2 linked regions of the Rhinolophus ferrumequinum genome follow. The protein of the gene in region 1 purifies or fractionates together with the protein of each later gene. This does not show direct contact. Links are inferred from orthologs where the notes say so. Each region holds a gene or a part of one and is shown on either strand. Other genes may lie near its edges.

Region 1 (7,813 bases):
GTCCTCTCCCATCTCCCAGGCCCTGGAACCAGACCCTGGGACTTCTAGGACTCTAGCTGTATTGAGATGGGGTAGGGGAGCAGGGTCAGAGAATGGCAGTGGGGTACTACTACCCAGGCCAGGACAGGAGGGAGGCAGGGTAATGTTCTAGAGTGGGTGGGGGTGAGGGCGAAGGAAGGGAGGGAGGGAAGGCATTGGAAAGTACAGGATCTCCTGGGTTGCTGGGGCATTTGTCAGGGGGAGCAAGGGCTGTTTGGAGGGGAGGCAGCAGCCTCTTGGCTCCCACATTGCCGGTCCAGGGGCAGCATGCACATTACGGTTTCTGTTCTGTGCGGCTGGAGTTGTGCAACACAGTGGTGCTGGGCAGAGGCTCTCGGAGTCCCAGAACAGGGTGCCTCACCTCTGCATGAGACGCCTGTCCCATCGATGGTCACCTTACACACTGCACAGACTGGTGGTTTCTTCCGGAAAACCTTCTCCCGGAAGCTATGTGGCTCGGCTTTCCTAGGCTAGGTAGGGGTGGAGGGGCAGAGACTCAGACAGGGGTATCTGTTCCCAGCAGACCCATCTGGAGACTGGGCCAGTGCCTTAGCACCGCACTGGTTCCTTTCTTCCTCCATCCTGATTAAAGTCCCCAAATGATTAATGTCCCCAAACCCGTGGGACACTTGGCCACTGCTGTTTCCGGCCAGTTGTGGGGGCTGTCCTCAACAGTGCATGGAATCTGGCCTCTTGCGTCACCCTCACTGGGTCAGCTCCTCCCCAAGGGATCAGTTAGGCCCCTCACGTGGCTCTGGTGTGTGATACCCTTGTGGTCACTGCCACCCCAAACACAAGAACTTTCCTCTTGGTGGGGGGGCACTCTCTGATTCTCCTCTATGAGGGCCCCCGTTTCTCCTTCAATTTTGCCCTCCCCGATGGAGGCCCTTGTGCAGAGTGAACAGCAGGGGGTCCAGACAAGAATGTAGGCTGTCAGTCACAGCACCCAGACTGACTGATGGGAGTGGCCTCCGTCAGTCCTGATCCCCTGGCTCCTGCTGTCCTGCTCTAGGCAGCTGACATGCCTTCCTCACCCCCACCCCCACCCCCAAGAACAACATGTTTACTCATTGTGCACTGAGGCGGCAGGCAGCAGTTGTGTAAGGAGGTGGGTGGTAATGCTGGAGGGAGAGGCAGACAGAGGCATGACATTGGAGAAAATATTTAGCTGTCTTGCTACTTCTGGATGTAGTGAGCACCCTGTCATTTGAGGACATTCAAGTGAGGATTCCAGCATTGAATGGAGTAGCGGGGTGGACCAGATGCTGGGCTGGGCCCCTCCCCACCCAGAGGTGCAGTGAGGCAGGAGGCTGGGATGCCCCCTGAAGGCCCAGGCCTACCTCACACGCAGTCCCACGCCTCCCACTGTGATTCACTCCTTCCATCCTGTCTGGGGACCATTTTTGCTTCCTTGCCTCCTCTCTTCTACCCATTTTTCTCCACCTCTGAAGTTCAAGTTCCTGCCCCATCCCCCTTTTATAGTAGTGTCTCATGTTGCCCTGAGCTGCTGCTTTTGGGGTAAGCCTGAGCAAGTAAAGAAAGGGAGTGATGGGGTCTCCAGGCCCCCCCCCCCCCCCCAGGCCTGGGGACCCAGGCCCCACCTCTTGTCTCTTGGCAGTGTCCCTGACGCAGCTAGATTAAGCCAGCAACTGAACTCTCTTGTGCTGGACCAACTGTGCTGGACCCACTAGGAAACTTGGGTACATCTAGCATAAATGGCATATACAGATGATGTCAGTGAAAGCAACCCTCCAGTGTCTAAGGCACTCCTGAGACCTGGCCACGTCCCTCCCTTCCTTCACCACCCCCAGCCCCCCATTTTCCCCAAACATCTTGGCTCAGGGAAGATGCCTGATCTCTTAGCCCTGCTCTGGGGTTCCCAGGATGGTACCCAGAAAGGTCCTACAATGAAATGTACCTGGACATAGGTGTAGGGGATCAGGACCCCCAGAGTTGGTATGGGCTAGGGCAGGGAGGTGATAGAAGAGCCAAAACAGACCCCAGGTTCTGCTCAAACCCAAACTTCTATGGTGCATACCACAGCCCTGGCCACCCCAAAGAGGCAGAGTAATGAGCAAAGGGAGAAGGCTGAGGTGGAGGGTCTGGCCTGTGTCCTGGCCCCCTTCCCCACCTCCACCCCTGCCCCGCCTCTGCCCAGCTGGTGGGCACTCCTACCCTGCTGGTGGCCCGGCTGCTGTCCCTCCTCCCCAGGGCTCTGAGCAGCCTCTCCACGGGGCCGCTGGACTTCATGGTGTCCGGCTGGCTGGGGTGCCGGCCGCGGGGCCCGAACAATGCTGGGGCCTGGCCCGGGGCTTCCTGGAAGCGGCCTGGCGGAGGCAGCCGCTTCCCCTGGGTGGAGGGTAGGCTGTCTGGCTGGTGTGAGGAGAAGCCCAGCCCTGGAAGCGGAGGGGAGTACAGGCGGGAAGGGGGCAGGTCGCTGCTCCAGGAAGTGGGGGGAGGATGTGGCGGAGGCCAGGAGATCAGATTCCCAGGATCTACCCTGCTGGGAGTGTCAGCCCAGGATCCTCTGACCCCGCAGCCCCGCTCTGGGGCTGCCCCAGGCCCCAGGAGCCACCCCATCCAGGATCTGCTGGGATCCTGAGATCCAGCCCCCGGTGGGGCGGGACAGCGTGGGGGCAGGGTGGGAACTGAGGTCTCAGGGCAGGGCTCAGGGACCAGTGGGGAACACCGTGTCCTGGCCAGGACAGCCTCCCAGTCTGAACCCGTAGGCTCTCTGGGGACTTCTAGTGGGGAGGGAGGGGAGCTGGGACTCACTACGCCAGCCAGCCCAGGACTGGGAGTGCATCCTGAGGGTCAGGGAGAATGGGACGGAGGGCCAGTGTCCTGCCTCAGTTTCACTGGTTGTGAAAGTAAGGAAAGGAAAACATGCACCTCTCCCCCCTCTCCCCATTCACACTGGAAGGCAAATTGCAGCCAGAAAACTGCTTTGCCCACAGGAGTGATCCATTCTCCTGCCACAGCCCAAGGCATTTGAGGCCCTTCTCCTGAGAGCCTGCAGCTGCTCTGCTCCTGACACATTCCCCTCCTCACTCATTCCCTGGGCTTGTTTCTGCTTGACCTCTTAGACCCCTAGCCCCTCTTTGGAGCCGGCCACTTAGGCCCTCCACCTCAGGCCCTAGGGCCGCCCTCCTCCCCCAAAGCCTGAGTACTACCTTCATGGCTCTCCTGTCTCTGCTCTCCTTCCTCAGCAGCTGTCCCAGGACCTGAGGACTGGACAGGAGGCCCCCCTCCCAACACATACTCCACCCCCCTCTATGGGCCTCCTGCCTCCCTCCTGGGAACATGGCCAACTTCCTGTCCGGGAGTCAAGGGAAGGAGGAGGTGGATTGGGGCCTTGGAAAGGGGGGTAGGAATCTTCCGAAAATTTAAGGGGTTAATGGCCTGGGGGTCCTCAGCCCCAAGCCTTGGACAGCAGCCCCTTGGACCAGCAAGAGCTGTCACTTGAAACAATGTGCAAATATTCCTCTTTCATTTGCATGGTATTTACTGAATGTCCCAGAGCTCAGGCAACTCCCCCAGCTCTGGCATCTCCCACCAGGTCCTTAGACTTCCCTCTCCCTCCCTCGTGCCCTGCCTTCTCTGGGATGAGCCATCTTATGGGAGCTCACTGAGGACACTTCCCTGGATCTGCCTGGGCTTCTCCCTTGATGGTCTAATTCTCCTAGCAGGTCAGGAAGTCTGTCCCCAGGGTACCTTGGCCAGAGGGAGGCATCTGTGTGAAAAAGCTTGGGCCCCTGGCCTGTAACTGGAGAGGGGCACTGGCTCTGCAACCCACTCCCAACCCACCAGCTCTGGCTGGGTCCCAGGACATTCCAGGCCCCTGGCCAGTGTGGGCAACTGGGCCTGGTGTCCAGTCCCCAGCCCTGCTGGGGGAGGAGGGGCACTGTGGTAGGTTGGGTGGCCTTTCTCTGTTCCTATTGCACATACCCTGACCTGGACCCCTCCAGATGCTTCTTTCTACTCCTGCTGCCTCCAGAGGGGCTGAAAGTCCCCTCACCTAGCAGTCACCCTCATCCTCTGACCCTCACTCTTCTGGGAGGCTCACTAACCCGGGTGTTGGGAGGCCAGGGAAGCATGGCTTTGAGACCCTCCCCACCCTTGGTACACCTCTGAGGGAAGATGGAGACAAGAGTGCTGATCCCTCAGCGGTGCTGGGAGGAAAACGAGCTCACTGCGGCAGGGCTGGGAAGGCATGGCCAGACCCCCAAGGACCCTCGCCCTTCTCCTGCCTGGAACATTCCAGAGCCTGTCAGCCTCTCCCCCAGGCTGGCCCCCTCACACTCCGAAGCCTTAGGTTTGTTTGGAGAAACCCCTCCACCCACACTCCCCCTTCCTGGAAATAGCTGTGGTTGGATGAGAGGCTGGGAGCCCGGCCGCCACGGAGGAGGGGTGAGGCCCAGCGAAGGAGAGAGGGAGGAAGGCGGGGTACATGGGTGTGCCCAGAGGGAGCTGGAGAATTGAGAGTAGCAGCATAAGGGGGCTGACGAGTGGGCTGGAAAGTCAAATCAGCCTCATCTGTTCCCGCTTTCTGCCTCAGTTTCCCCAGATGTGAAGTAGAAAAGGAAAATACGCAGACGCACTCCCAGGCCAGTGCCCGCGCGCGGCCGCCAGTTCCCGCCTGGCTACAGGGCCCGCATGTGGAAGAACGTGCCCCACTGTACTCGAAGAGCGGCGTCCGGTGCGGGGCGCGCGCGGGTGCGTGGCGGGAAGGAGCAGCACCGTGCCTAGGCGGCGTGTGCGCACCAGGGCGGGCGAAGGCGTGACGGCCCCAACTAGAGTGTGACCGCGGCCTGCGCCCCGCCCCCTGGGCACCTTCCCGGCAGCCAGCCGTCTCAGTTCGCCGCGGCCCGCCAGATCTCCGATCACCGACCCCAGCCCGGCGCCCGCCCGCTTCCCCTGGAGCCCCGGCGGCCCCGCGCCCCCTGGCGACCGCCCCCGGCACTGCTCCCCGGCCGTGACGCACGAGCCGCCGCCCTCCCGCTCCGCGCGGCGCGGCCACTCACCTGCGGGGGGCGCCCGGCGGGGCGGGGGCGCGGCGGGGCGGGGCAGCAGCAGGGGGAGCCCCCGAGCCAGCCCATCCTAGCCGGGCCCGCGCCGAGCGGCCGCGCGGGAGGCGCTGGAGGCGGGAGCGGGCGCCGCGCTCCTGGGCTCCCTCCCGCCCCGCCGCTCCCGCGCCGCACTCTCCTCCCTCCGGCGCTGTTCCCCTCCCTCCTGCCCCGCTCCAATCCCCACCTTCCGCCCGCTCCCGCCCCCCGCCCTCCTCCTCTCTCTTTTCTCTCCCCACCTTCTTCTGCGAACCCCGCTCATAAAGAGCTGAGAGGAAGAAGGAGCGCTGAGACGCCGAGACTCGGAGACGGAAAGAGACAGATGGGGAGAGATTTTGAGCAAGGTGGACACCAAGGACACAGGGACAGGAAAATCTCAGAGATGGGGAGTGACCCAGCGGGATACAGGCCAAAAGAGCCACACGAGCCAGACAGACTCAGAAGAAAAGGTGGACATAGGTCCAGAAGGCACTGGAAACAGAGTACAGAGAACTGCCTTGGCTTCTCTCAGCCGGGCCCCTCCACAGGAGTGTATTTGAGATTGGGCCCTGTGGGGCTAGTGCCACCTACCCATGGGGGCACTAGCTTCAGATGAAGATACTTGGTGTCACTTGTGGGTTCCAAGTCTCTGGACACTTTCCCTGGTCCTCTGCCTCATGGGAGGCTTCTCAGGTGTCACCTATTCTCCCCAAAGGACTCATACTTGAGGACCCCCCCACTCATCACCACCACCAAGCGGGTCGTCAGCCCATCCATCGCCCTGCTTTGGAGCTGGACAGTCACTCCCACTCCCTAGGAGATTTCCGTTAAAAAGTCTTCCTCACAACTCTAGTCCCAGGCTTTCCAACGAACGTGGAAGTTCATTCTGTGGTCTAAACTTATTCCCATCTTTTGCAGTGTCTGGACTTAGCACGGGAATAGAAACTTCCTGGAATTCAGCTAATGGGCCATGGGTCTGGTTTGAGTTTGTGCCACCCTGGAGGGGAAGGTAGAGGGAATGGATGTCTTTCTAGAAGTTCTGAATCTTTTCCCAATCCCAGCTTCCCCAGTGTTCTTTATCAGTGAGCACTTCCTGAAACTTTCTCCCTCCCTTCCCCTCCCCACTAGATTTTCCATGATGAAAACCGGGGGGGGGGGGGGGGGGGACGGGGGGGGGGGGGAGGTGTTTGTCTGAGGAGCCAGTGCCCAGGGCTCAATGCCCAATGCCTGCTCAAAGCAGCCAGTACCCTCAGCTCTTAAGGCCCTCCATCCTTTCTGTGCTCATCTTGCCTTTGGCAAAGGCTGGGAACTCTGCTTCTGATTATGAGGGGTGGATCCCCGATTTCAATAAGGCAGTAGGGAAAAGGCTATGAAACAGCGCATGGTGACAGTGTGGGTCCCCCCAGAGACTGGCATTTGGGAGGGGTAGATGTGGCTGGGACTGGGGAGCCTTGATCTTACTGCTCGTGTGAGTTGGTGTCCAGTAGGCAGCCTCAGAAAGTGCAGCAGTCACTGGAGTCTGGAGGAGGGGCGGGGAGGTTGGAGTGGAGCTGGGGAGGGAAGAGGTTGGGAGGAGAGGAAAGGCTGGAGTTAGGAGAGCAACAGGGATCAAAGGCTACTGGGGTAGGGGCAGGGCTGAAGGTCATTCTATGGATTTTGACAAGATTTGATTATACTATAATCAAGATGCAGGATATGAAAATTTGTTCATTTCTTTGGAGTGTATGCTACTTCTTTTAACACTTTGCCCTTCTCAGAGTTCATTATGTCTTTGGCTGGGCCCTGGGATACATGCTAAGGGGGTAGGTTCTAATCTCTCAAGGTACCAAAGGAGAGACTGGGGGAGACTCAGAGAAGAGGCACTTGATTGGATCCCAGGACAGTGGCAGCGTTAGAGCCTCACACAAGCTGGCGTTGTTGCCGCTAAAGAAGAACCCTTTTTGAGATTCCAAGGAATTGAGAGGGTCACAAGATGGGCAGCTGAACTTCCAGCTCAGACTTGATGCCTACTCTCAAGTGAGGACCAAGGCAGGAGGGACACTGAAGAGAAGTTGAGAGTGAAACATTATACAGGAGGTGGCTTGGGAGTGAAATAAAAATGAGTGGCACATGGAGCCAGCCAGGCATCCTGAGGACAGGCAGGTACAGAGAGGAAGGGGAAAGGGAGGGAAGCCAGGGTAATGTTAGTAAAGCTCAAAAAGAATCGTAGGAACACCCTCTGAGCCTCCATGCAGGTTTTCTTACCTTGACTATGCAGAGGGCAGCCCATTTTGGCACGAAAGGCTGAACCCCGTTTTTCACGGTCTGGGGTGATCCCATGCCTGTGACCGAATGCGCTGAGATTCTCGGGTTGGGGGACTATAGGAGGGCACTGAGGGTCGGAAGAGCACTGGGTCAGGGAAATTTCAGTAGAGGGTTGGGCGCTGGGAACCAGGAAGAGCAGGGGAAGGGGCCAAGCTGATTCGAGGCGGATCTCCTGGCTGAGGACTGTGCATTGTCCAACTGGGAGGCTGCTGCAGCTGGGCGGGGAGCAGCACAGCTCGCCTCTTCCAAACTCCTTTTTGGTGAGGTGGGAGGGTGAGGGTAGACAAGTCCTCCCTTCATTTGTGGCCCTAGGGGCTACAATGGTTGCTGAGAAACAGTATTTTATTTGAGAAATAATGCTTCCCAAGAGCAGATGTGTAGCTCTCCCACTTCCTGAGAAACCAGATGCTGTGAGCTCACTTAGC
Region 2 (7,731 bases), on another chromosome or scaffold:
TCAGCAGGAAGTTAAAGCTGTGGGACGAAGGCCTAGAAATATCATATGCATCAATAAACATGATTTGGTGTTCGATGGTATATGAAAAATCAGAGTTGAAGCTGACTATAAGATTGCAAGTCTTACGAGGTACTGGAAATTGTTAGAACTGATATTGGGGGTGAGGAAGTTTTTATTTTGGGATCTCATTTGAATTTCATGGCAAATTATGTAATTTCCATGATTGTCAATAAAAAACACTGGTAATTTTCCATAACTAAGTGGATTCCATGAAACTAACCTTCTGCTTAGTGTGTCCTTGCTAATATTTTCCTAAAAAGAAAGTCACAGAGCTACAAAACTGTCACCAGCTGCTTCTCATTAGTAATGTGGTTAGCAGATGTGGGTTTTTATAGTCATAAAGCATGAGATAGTTAATCCATTTTTGTGGGTTTCAAATGGATAGTGATTTATCTTGGCGGGATGAATTTTAAAATGTGCTTGCATCAGCTAAAGGATATATGCATCTTTCCCTCTTTTCGCTTCATATTTGTGCTGGAGAAAAACATTTTAGGATATTTCTGGAAGGCAGAGGAGTACTGCCTGTTGAAAAGGACAATTGATCTCACTGTCTTCTAACTGGGGAAGAGTTATGCATGCATAATTTTTCAAAGTTGGATGTTGAATTTGTTATCTTACAAACTTCTCTCTTCGGCCTCTTCTTTGGTAGTAATTGAGTGGCTCTTGCTTTTGTTTCTCTGGCATTAGGCCACCTTTGTGGTAGTGACCTTCAGGCTTGCTAAGGGCTGCAATTTTGCCTGGGGCCCTCCTTCCTTATGAAATTACACAACACTCAGACCTTGGACCAAGCCCCAGATCTACTAATTCTTTCCTTTGACAGACTCTTGGCAATATGTACTCCCTTTCAGCCAAAGTGTAGTTTTATGCAAGATCTGTTTGTCACTGAAATTAATTTGGCCATTTGCCCTTTAAGCCTGGAATCAAATGGTATCATGGTAGACCCATTCCTAGATAAAGTATAGACTCTCAGTTTCTACCAAAGGTTTTACTATTGATGCTGAAGCTGAAGATCAACAGGTAATAATAACAGCAGCAGCTACGTTTTTATAGGCAGTGCTGCTACGTGCTTTGCACGTCATCCCAGTCAGCCACCTTTAGAGGTAGAACATACCTGAATATTTTTCCAAAGGAGAAACTAAGGCCGATGTCCTCAGCCCCTTGACCATTGTCATATCCTAGTAAGTGGCCAAACTGCAATTTGAACCTTGTGCTCTTAGTTGCCATGCTAAATTATGCATCGACTATGAGAGAAAAGGACAAAAAACATTGGGTTTTGAGAGGGCTTAGAATCAGAGCCTGAGTCGTAGAATTGTAGGAAATTATGGAACTGAAGCTAGCTAATCTAACCCCCTCATTTTAAAGCAACAAAGATCCCTGCCTTGTTCTGAGAAAAAGTAAGATAACAGTTTGAACAGAGGAGAACCCATATTGATAGATGGCAGGATTGGAAGGTTATTGGGAATTATCTCAACCATTTCCTTTTTAGAGGTAGATAAAATAACAGTCCTGTTCAAAAATTTTCTAAGCTTTTCTCACCGTCCTTAAAGAGGCCATGTGTACTCTTTATTTCAGATTTCATTATCCACCATAAATAGATTTCCACTGACTACTTGAGATTTCCTTGATGGTAATTTTCACTCTGCAAGGAACCAGTAACCTTCAGAGGGATTATTTGAAATGACTACTGCGCAGGAGGCACTGAATTTCAATCAATCACATGTTTTATGAGTTCCTTTTCTACAAGGCAATATTTTTGGAATAATGGGGAATAAATAGAAGTCGGTGGGTGGTCCTGCCCTTTTGTATTTTAACATCTGTTTGGACAAACCAGCCAGGCATAAAATTGTTCAAAGCAAAAACCCCAACAGATTGGGTAGATAAGGAAAACTGGGATGAGATCTTACTAGGTGGGAAGGTGGCTGAAAGGGGCAGAAGGTGTTTGGAAGGATGGACTCAGGTGGGAATTTGCAAGGCATCATTGGGAGACACTGGATGAGTCTGGCTGATCTAAAAGTAGTGATGAAAGAGATTGTTGAAAATTAATTTAGGTTCTGATGGAGAACCTTGTAAAAACATCTTGATAGTTTGGGAATTTTTTATGGATATATTTAAAAATAAGTGAAAACCTCCAAGTAATCCAAATACCAATCTTCATTACCTTCTCTCTTTCCAGGGTTAAATATTTTGTTACATAACTATTGTCTTATATAAGTGCCTTCATTTATTATTTGGTTAGAAGATCTACGATTTCCTCCAACTCTATTGACCTAAAGGTCTTGATACTTTTGGAAAGAATTTCCAGCATTTCCCTTTTGCTAATAAAGGTATCCTCAAGTGCCCAACCTCTGGGTGGTTACATATATAAAAGTGTTCAAAATAGTGCTCAGACCCCAAGGACTCAGCTGCCAAGTGGTCTGTAAAAAGCAGAAATGTCACATAACTCAGGCCTCGGGGGGCTCACACCTCAGCTGGAGCAAAGCCAGAAATGTCTATGACTATAGGGTCACTTTGGCACATCAGGACCTGCCAGAACAGCAAGCTGGCCTCACTGCAGTCGATTTAGGAGAGGGCTGGAGGACTGAGCTTCTGCTGATGTTTGCAGTTTGGAAAATCCTGCTCCACTAATTGCAAAGAGGATTCTGCTGTAATGATATTTTCGGTGAGATACTTTTCACATTTTGAATTTTCTTCATTTGGGCTCTGGGTGCTTTCCAGTCTCTCTTTATTGTTTTAACTCCTGGTATCGGAAGTTTTGCCCATACACGGATATGCATTTACAGAGTGGTGCATGGACATGGCTTACGAGCTTCAACATGTACTTCATGAGCAAGCAAGTATACAGCCCCTTTTACAGGAATTGGTGTACACTCCCTCTGCTTGCAGCCCTCCTTCTTTTCCCCCCATAAAAACATGGGGATTTCGCTTTTACTGCTGAAGGAAAGTTAGAGGGCACCTTGATCTCACGTTTTTTGCTGAGATCTTTGAGCAATGTGATTTCTGGACGCTCATTTTTGAGATCTGAGTTATGTTAAAAAAAAAAAAAAAAAAGCACTGGACCAGGAAGCTAGGAGACCTGACTGAGTTTGCTTCCTCATTGTGGACTTGAAGCCAGAGTCTCTGGCTCCCTGGGCCTGTTTCCTCAGTTCTTCCAGCCCATGAAGCTGGGGGAAAAACCTGCTGCAGGCTCTGCAGGTTGCATAGTTTCTGGAGCCACCCATTTGCCCCAACAAAAGGCCACGGCTTCCAGGATAAGAAAAGTCAGATCTGCAAACCCAAGCCCAAACTCTTTGATATTTAATTATATGAGGCTTTTCACACTCATCCTGCTGACTCCACTGATCCTATGCTCTGTTCACATGGGAATCTTGGCATCTTCCTAGGTAACCACCATTCTGCAAATATATTTGAGGCCTACCTATTGTAGTTGCAGGGCTGAAGAAGACACGGTCCCCTCTCTACCTATTACAGGCAAGTAACAGGTGATAACAAAGCAGATTCTTGTCTCTGGACCTTTGCTTATGCCGTTTCCTCTGCTCCCCTATTCACCTTCCATTGTCACCTCTGTGAAGCTGACCCCAGACCTAACTGAAGGTTTCTTCTACTTTGCTCTCAGGGCGTTTTCTATATGTCATCTAACCACATAGTATCACACCAGGTTGGTTGGGTCTTCGCTTTCCTCCCACACTAGACCGCTAACTCTCATTTGTGGTACATGTTACTCAGCTCATTTCTAAGCCTCAAAAGGAACACAGCGGTGGAGCCCTCAGTAAATCCGGAATGAACCAATCAATGCAAGAATGAACGTGCAACCCAGTCTTGCAGGCTTGCAAAGTGCTTCTCGAAGTTGATCTTGCTTTCCGTGCCCAAGGCAGCTCAAGTCAATCGCACGGTACAGGTCAAGAGTTGGGGGGGTGGGGCGTCGGAGGTGAACAGGAGAACGTGAGATGTAGCCCGCCGCCTCCTGTAGCCCACGTCCAGTGAGCCGCAACCGACCGGACTGTGCGAGCAACTCCTTAACCTCCCGGAAGTGGCTCCTTTCCCCGCCCCTCCAGGGATGGGCGTGGTCTCTCATGAATAATGAATCTACAGGGGAGGGGCCGGACCCGCCCCCTCGGGCGGGAAGGGGGAAGCGTTGAGGCTGCCTGACTGGAATGAGGGTAGCTGCGGCGACTGCGGCGGCGGGAGCGGGGCCGGCCATGGCGGTGTGGACGCGGGCCACCAAAGCGGGGCTGGTGGAGCTGCTCCTGAGGGAGCGCTGGGTCCGGGTGGTGGCCGAACTGAGCGGGGAGAGCCTGAGCCTGACGGGCGACGCCGCGGCGGCTGAGGCCGAGCCCGCTTTGGGGCCGGCGGCGGCCGCCTTCAACGGCCTCCCGAACGGCGGCGGCGCCGGCGACTCGCTGCCGGGGAGCCCAAGCCGCGGCCTGGGCCCCCCAAGTCCGCCCGCGCCGCCGCGGGGCCCGGCGAGCGAGGCGGGAGCGTCGCCTCCCGTGCGCCGGGTGCGGGTGGTGAAGCAGGAGGCGGGCGGCCTGGGCATCAGCATCAAGGGTGGCCGCGAGAACCGGATGCCGATCCTCATCTCCAAGATCTTCCCGGGGCTGGCGGCGGACCAGAGCCGGGCACTGCGGCTGGGCGACGCCATCCTGTCGGTCAACGGCACGGACCTGCGCCAGGCCACCCACGACCAGGCCGTGCAGGCGCTGAAGCGTGCGGGCAAGGAGGTGCTGCTGGAGGGTGAGCGGGGCCGGCGGGCGGGCGGGCCGGCGTTCACTTTGTTTCTGCCACCCTGCCCCCTTTGCGGGGCGAGCCCGTTCCCTCCCCCTCCAAGGCCTCGTCTTTCCCTCCTCTGGTGCCCCGGCTCTCCCCAGACCCGGATTGCTGTGGCTTTGAGCATGGAAAAACTGATACTCCTTGCAGGAAAAGTTGGGCAACCGCCGAAGTGTGGGTGGCAGTCCCTAAAGAAGAGTTGGTTGAGATTTAGTAAAAAGCAGCAGCGCTTGAAGCCCCGCCTCTGCACAATAAGCTGATACTAAGAACTAGAGGACTCGAGTTCTGGAGGTCTCCTTTTGCCTCCTTAAAGAAGTGCCGGGTTGGCGCTTTCTTCACTCACCTCTGGCTCCCTTGGGAGGGCGGGTCTGTTAAAAATTCATCCACACCGATGCCAGCGGTATGCTTGGGCAAACCACCAAAACGCTGGTTAATTTATGGGAATTTAACCCATCATTGGCTCTCAACAATAACCAAAGAAAATCTTAGCACTTCCTTGAAGCCAGAAAGCTGAAACAGCAAGTTTGTGTGGTTAATGAGCCTAGTTTAACAGTGGAGGCTCACGTGTTTGAATATTTACTGCCAACTAGAGTTTTGCCCCTTTTGCAAGAGACTGATGCCAGCTTCCTACCATTCGCAGGAGTGCTGCTGCAAGGCTTTAAGCCTTTAGAAACCTGAAGTGTTAAATCGCAAGATATGTTCGAATAACCAGGATCATTATTTACTTAAGCATATATGTGGTCTGTAACCAGGATCTTTTATGGTGAATTTATGGAACTAAGGCTAAATTAAATCTCATCCCCGTGAAGGACTCATGCATTTTGGAGGTGAATTGTATTGTAAAGTGTTGTATTGTAATTGTATTGTATTGAAAGGTATTGTAAATGTGATCTGAAAAGCCCGTTGCTTACTTGAGAAGTTTTTGAGCCATTTGCTTTCTTTCATTGGTGATTCAGTCATTCAAGAAGCATTATTGCTGGCCATATAGAAGAGAATATAAAAGATGATATGTCTGTATTTGGTCTCTAGTTGAGAAAATGATAGAAAGATGTAAAACTTACAAGTTATTGATTAGGTTGTTCAACATATATATAAATGCCAAGGGAATGCAAAGTTAGAAAGTAGTGGAAGTCAGGATTAGTCAGAGAGGACTTTGGAGGAGCTTAATCTTGAGCCAGTTCTCCAAGGAAGTGATGGACATAGGCAGAGATGAGTCAGGAGGGTATTCCTGGCAGAGGAAGAACTGAGGAGGGGTGGGGAGTAGGGGTAGGAAGTGAGCAGTCCTCATACTGAGAGGCCAGAAGTCTAGCTTGGCAAAGTGATTTTCACTTTTTTCAAAATCGCAGTTATAATATTTGGCAAAATATTAATTTGCAAGTAAATGATTTAATGTGATCCAGTTTTGAAATTCCAGTGTCCCACCTTTATAATATCCTATTTATAAACCTTATTTATATCTCACTTATAGATAGGGCTAGACACTGCTCGGAAATCAGTATTAATAAAAGGAGTAAAATTACAGATTGTGGCTCAGGTGGTGTATATGTAAGAAAATGGTTACCTTAAACGTGTACCTTGAAATGGGCTTAGCTAAGCATTTGCTTATAAATTCTTAGAGCCAGAATATTGAATATAGCACTATTTATGTAGTACTTAGTGGTGATGGGTAGACATTTTAACTCTTTACACCATATTTTTAAAACACCCAGTTTTTGTTTAAATATAATTTGAACCTGGTATTCATACCAATTAAATGAAAATCATCCAGTAAATGTTTCCCGGTGTTCATTAGTCTAAAATGGGCCACGTATGCTTTTAGAAGAAGGGTTTACAAACGGCCGCAAAACATTTACTGAATACCTTTTTTCCTAGCACACAGGTTCTACTTTATTTTCCCATTTTGGAAAAAACAAGCAGTTTTTGTCGTTATATGTGGAGGAAAGTATGAAATTGCGCTTTCAAGCCAACGGATATAAAAATAAAATTACTTAGAATAAGCAAAAATCACCGAAAACAGTGATTTAATTGAACCAGTCAAACTATTTAAAATTGAGAGCTGTTGTCCTAACCAGGTAGGCCACTTTTGGAAGATGGATTTTATGCTTAGCTCTTAAAGTTTTGGATCTGTGTTCTCCTTTCATTAGATGTCTCAAAATTTGAAAAACTGCCTTAACGTAGCACGGTGATGCTCTTTTGTGGTGTGGGCAGGGAATGTCAAGCATGCCCTTGCCACCCCCAAGCAAAGGAAAGCTGTAGTCTCTGTTGGCCTGTGGTTAGGGAACTGAGCTAAAGGGTTCTTTTTATCTCATGGATTTATAGGGATTATTTATTCATACATCTAACATTTATCCAACTCTACAATGTACCAGAGACATTCGAAGATACCTACCTCCTGCTCTCAGAGAGTTTGGAGTTGAGATAGGAAATAAGTACAGCAAAGGGCTAAAGCAAAGGACTGTTGTAATAGAACTCTGGAAAGGACACAGCACAAGGGAAGGAGAGATCTATAGGTGACCCTATTAGGGATCAGAGGTTGAGGATGCCCAGGAAAAGGTTGAGGGAGAAATTGAAGCTTGAATGGAGCCTTCCCTTTAGAAGAGAAAGCTGCTACCAGTAAAGACACACAAGGGAGGGACATTAAGATGGTATTTCTGCCCCGTAAGGGTAGAGTACAAATGAGGTCTTCGTGGTCAGAGAGACCTGGGTTTGTTTCTGGCTAGTGGTTTGTAACTCCTAGGCAAGTTACTCAACCTTGTTAAATAAATCTTAGTTTCCTCCTCTGTAAAACCAGGATGGTAATAATGCCTCCCTCAGAGGTTGTTATTGACTTGACAGTTTATGTGCTGGGCACTTTTTTAGGTACTAGAACATATCAGTAAACAACATCAACAACAACAAAAACCAAGT

Evidence for each region.
Region 2: the proteins of TNS2 (region 1) and SNTB2 purify together in Homo sapiens (affinity purification with mass spectrometry; 4 studies listed by BioGRID and IntAct, with this or other methods). This does not show direct contact. The link is inferred for Rhinolophus ferrumequinum from reciprocal best matches to the Homo sapiens genes TNS2 and SNTB2.

The regions. Positions count from the first base shown.
Region 1 is NC_046293.1:53,008,066-53,015,878, reverse strand, and holds the start of TNS2 (tensin-2), read right to left. Parts: upstream 3,511-7,813; 5' UTR 3,345-3,510; coding exon 3,213-3,344; intron 2,600-3,212; exon of another isoform or gene 2,290-2,599; coding exon of another isoform or gene 2,215-2,289; intron 510-2,214; coding exon 401-509; intron 1-400. UniProt on the Homo sapiens protein: Tyrosine-protein phosphatase which regulates cell motility, proliferation and muscle-response to insulin. Phosphatase activity is mediated by binding to phosphatidylinositol-3,4,5-triphosphate (PtdIns(3,4,5)P3) via the SH2 domain.
Region 2 is NC_046298.1:18,363,834-18,371,564, forward strand, and holds the start of SNTB2 (beta-2-syntrophin), read left to right. Parts: upstream 1-4,190; 5' UTR 4,191-4,211; coding exon 4,212-4,791; intron 4,792-7,731. UniProt on the Homo sapiens protein: Adapter protein that binds to and probably organizes the subcellular localization of a variety of membrane proteins. May link various receptors to the actin cytoskeleton and the dystrophin glycoprotein complex.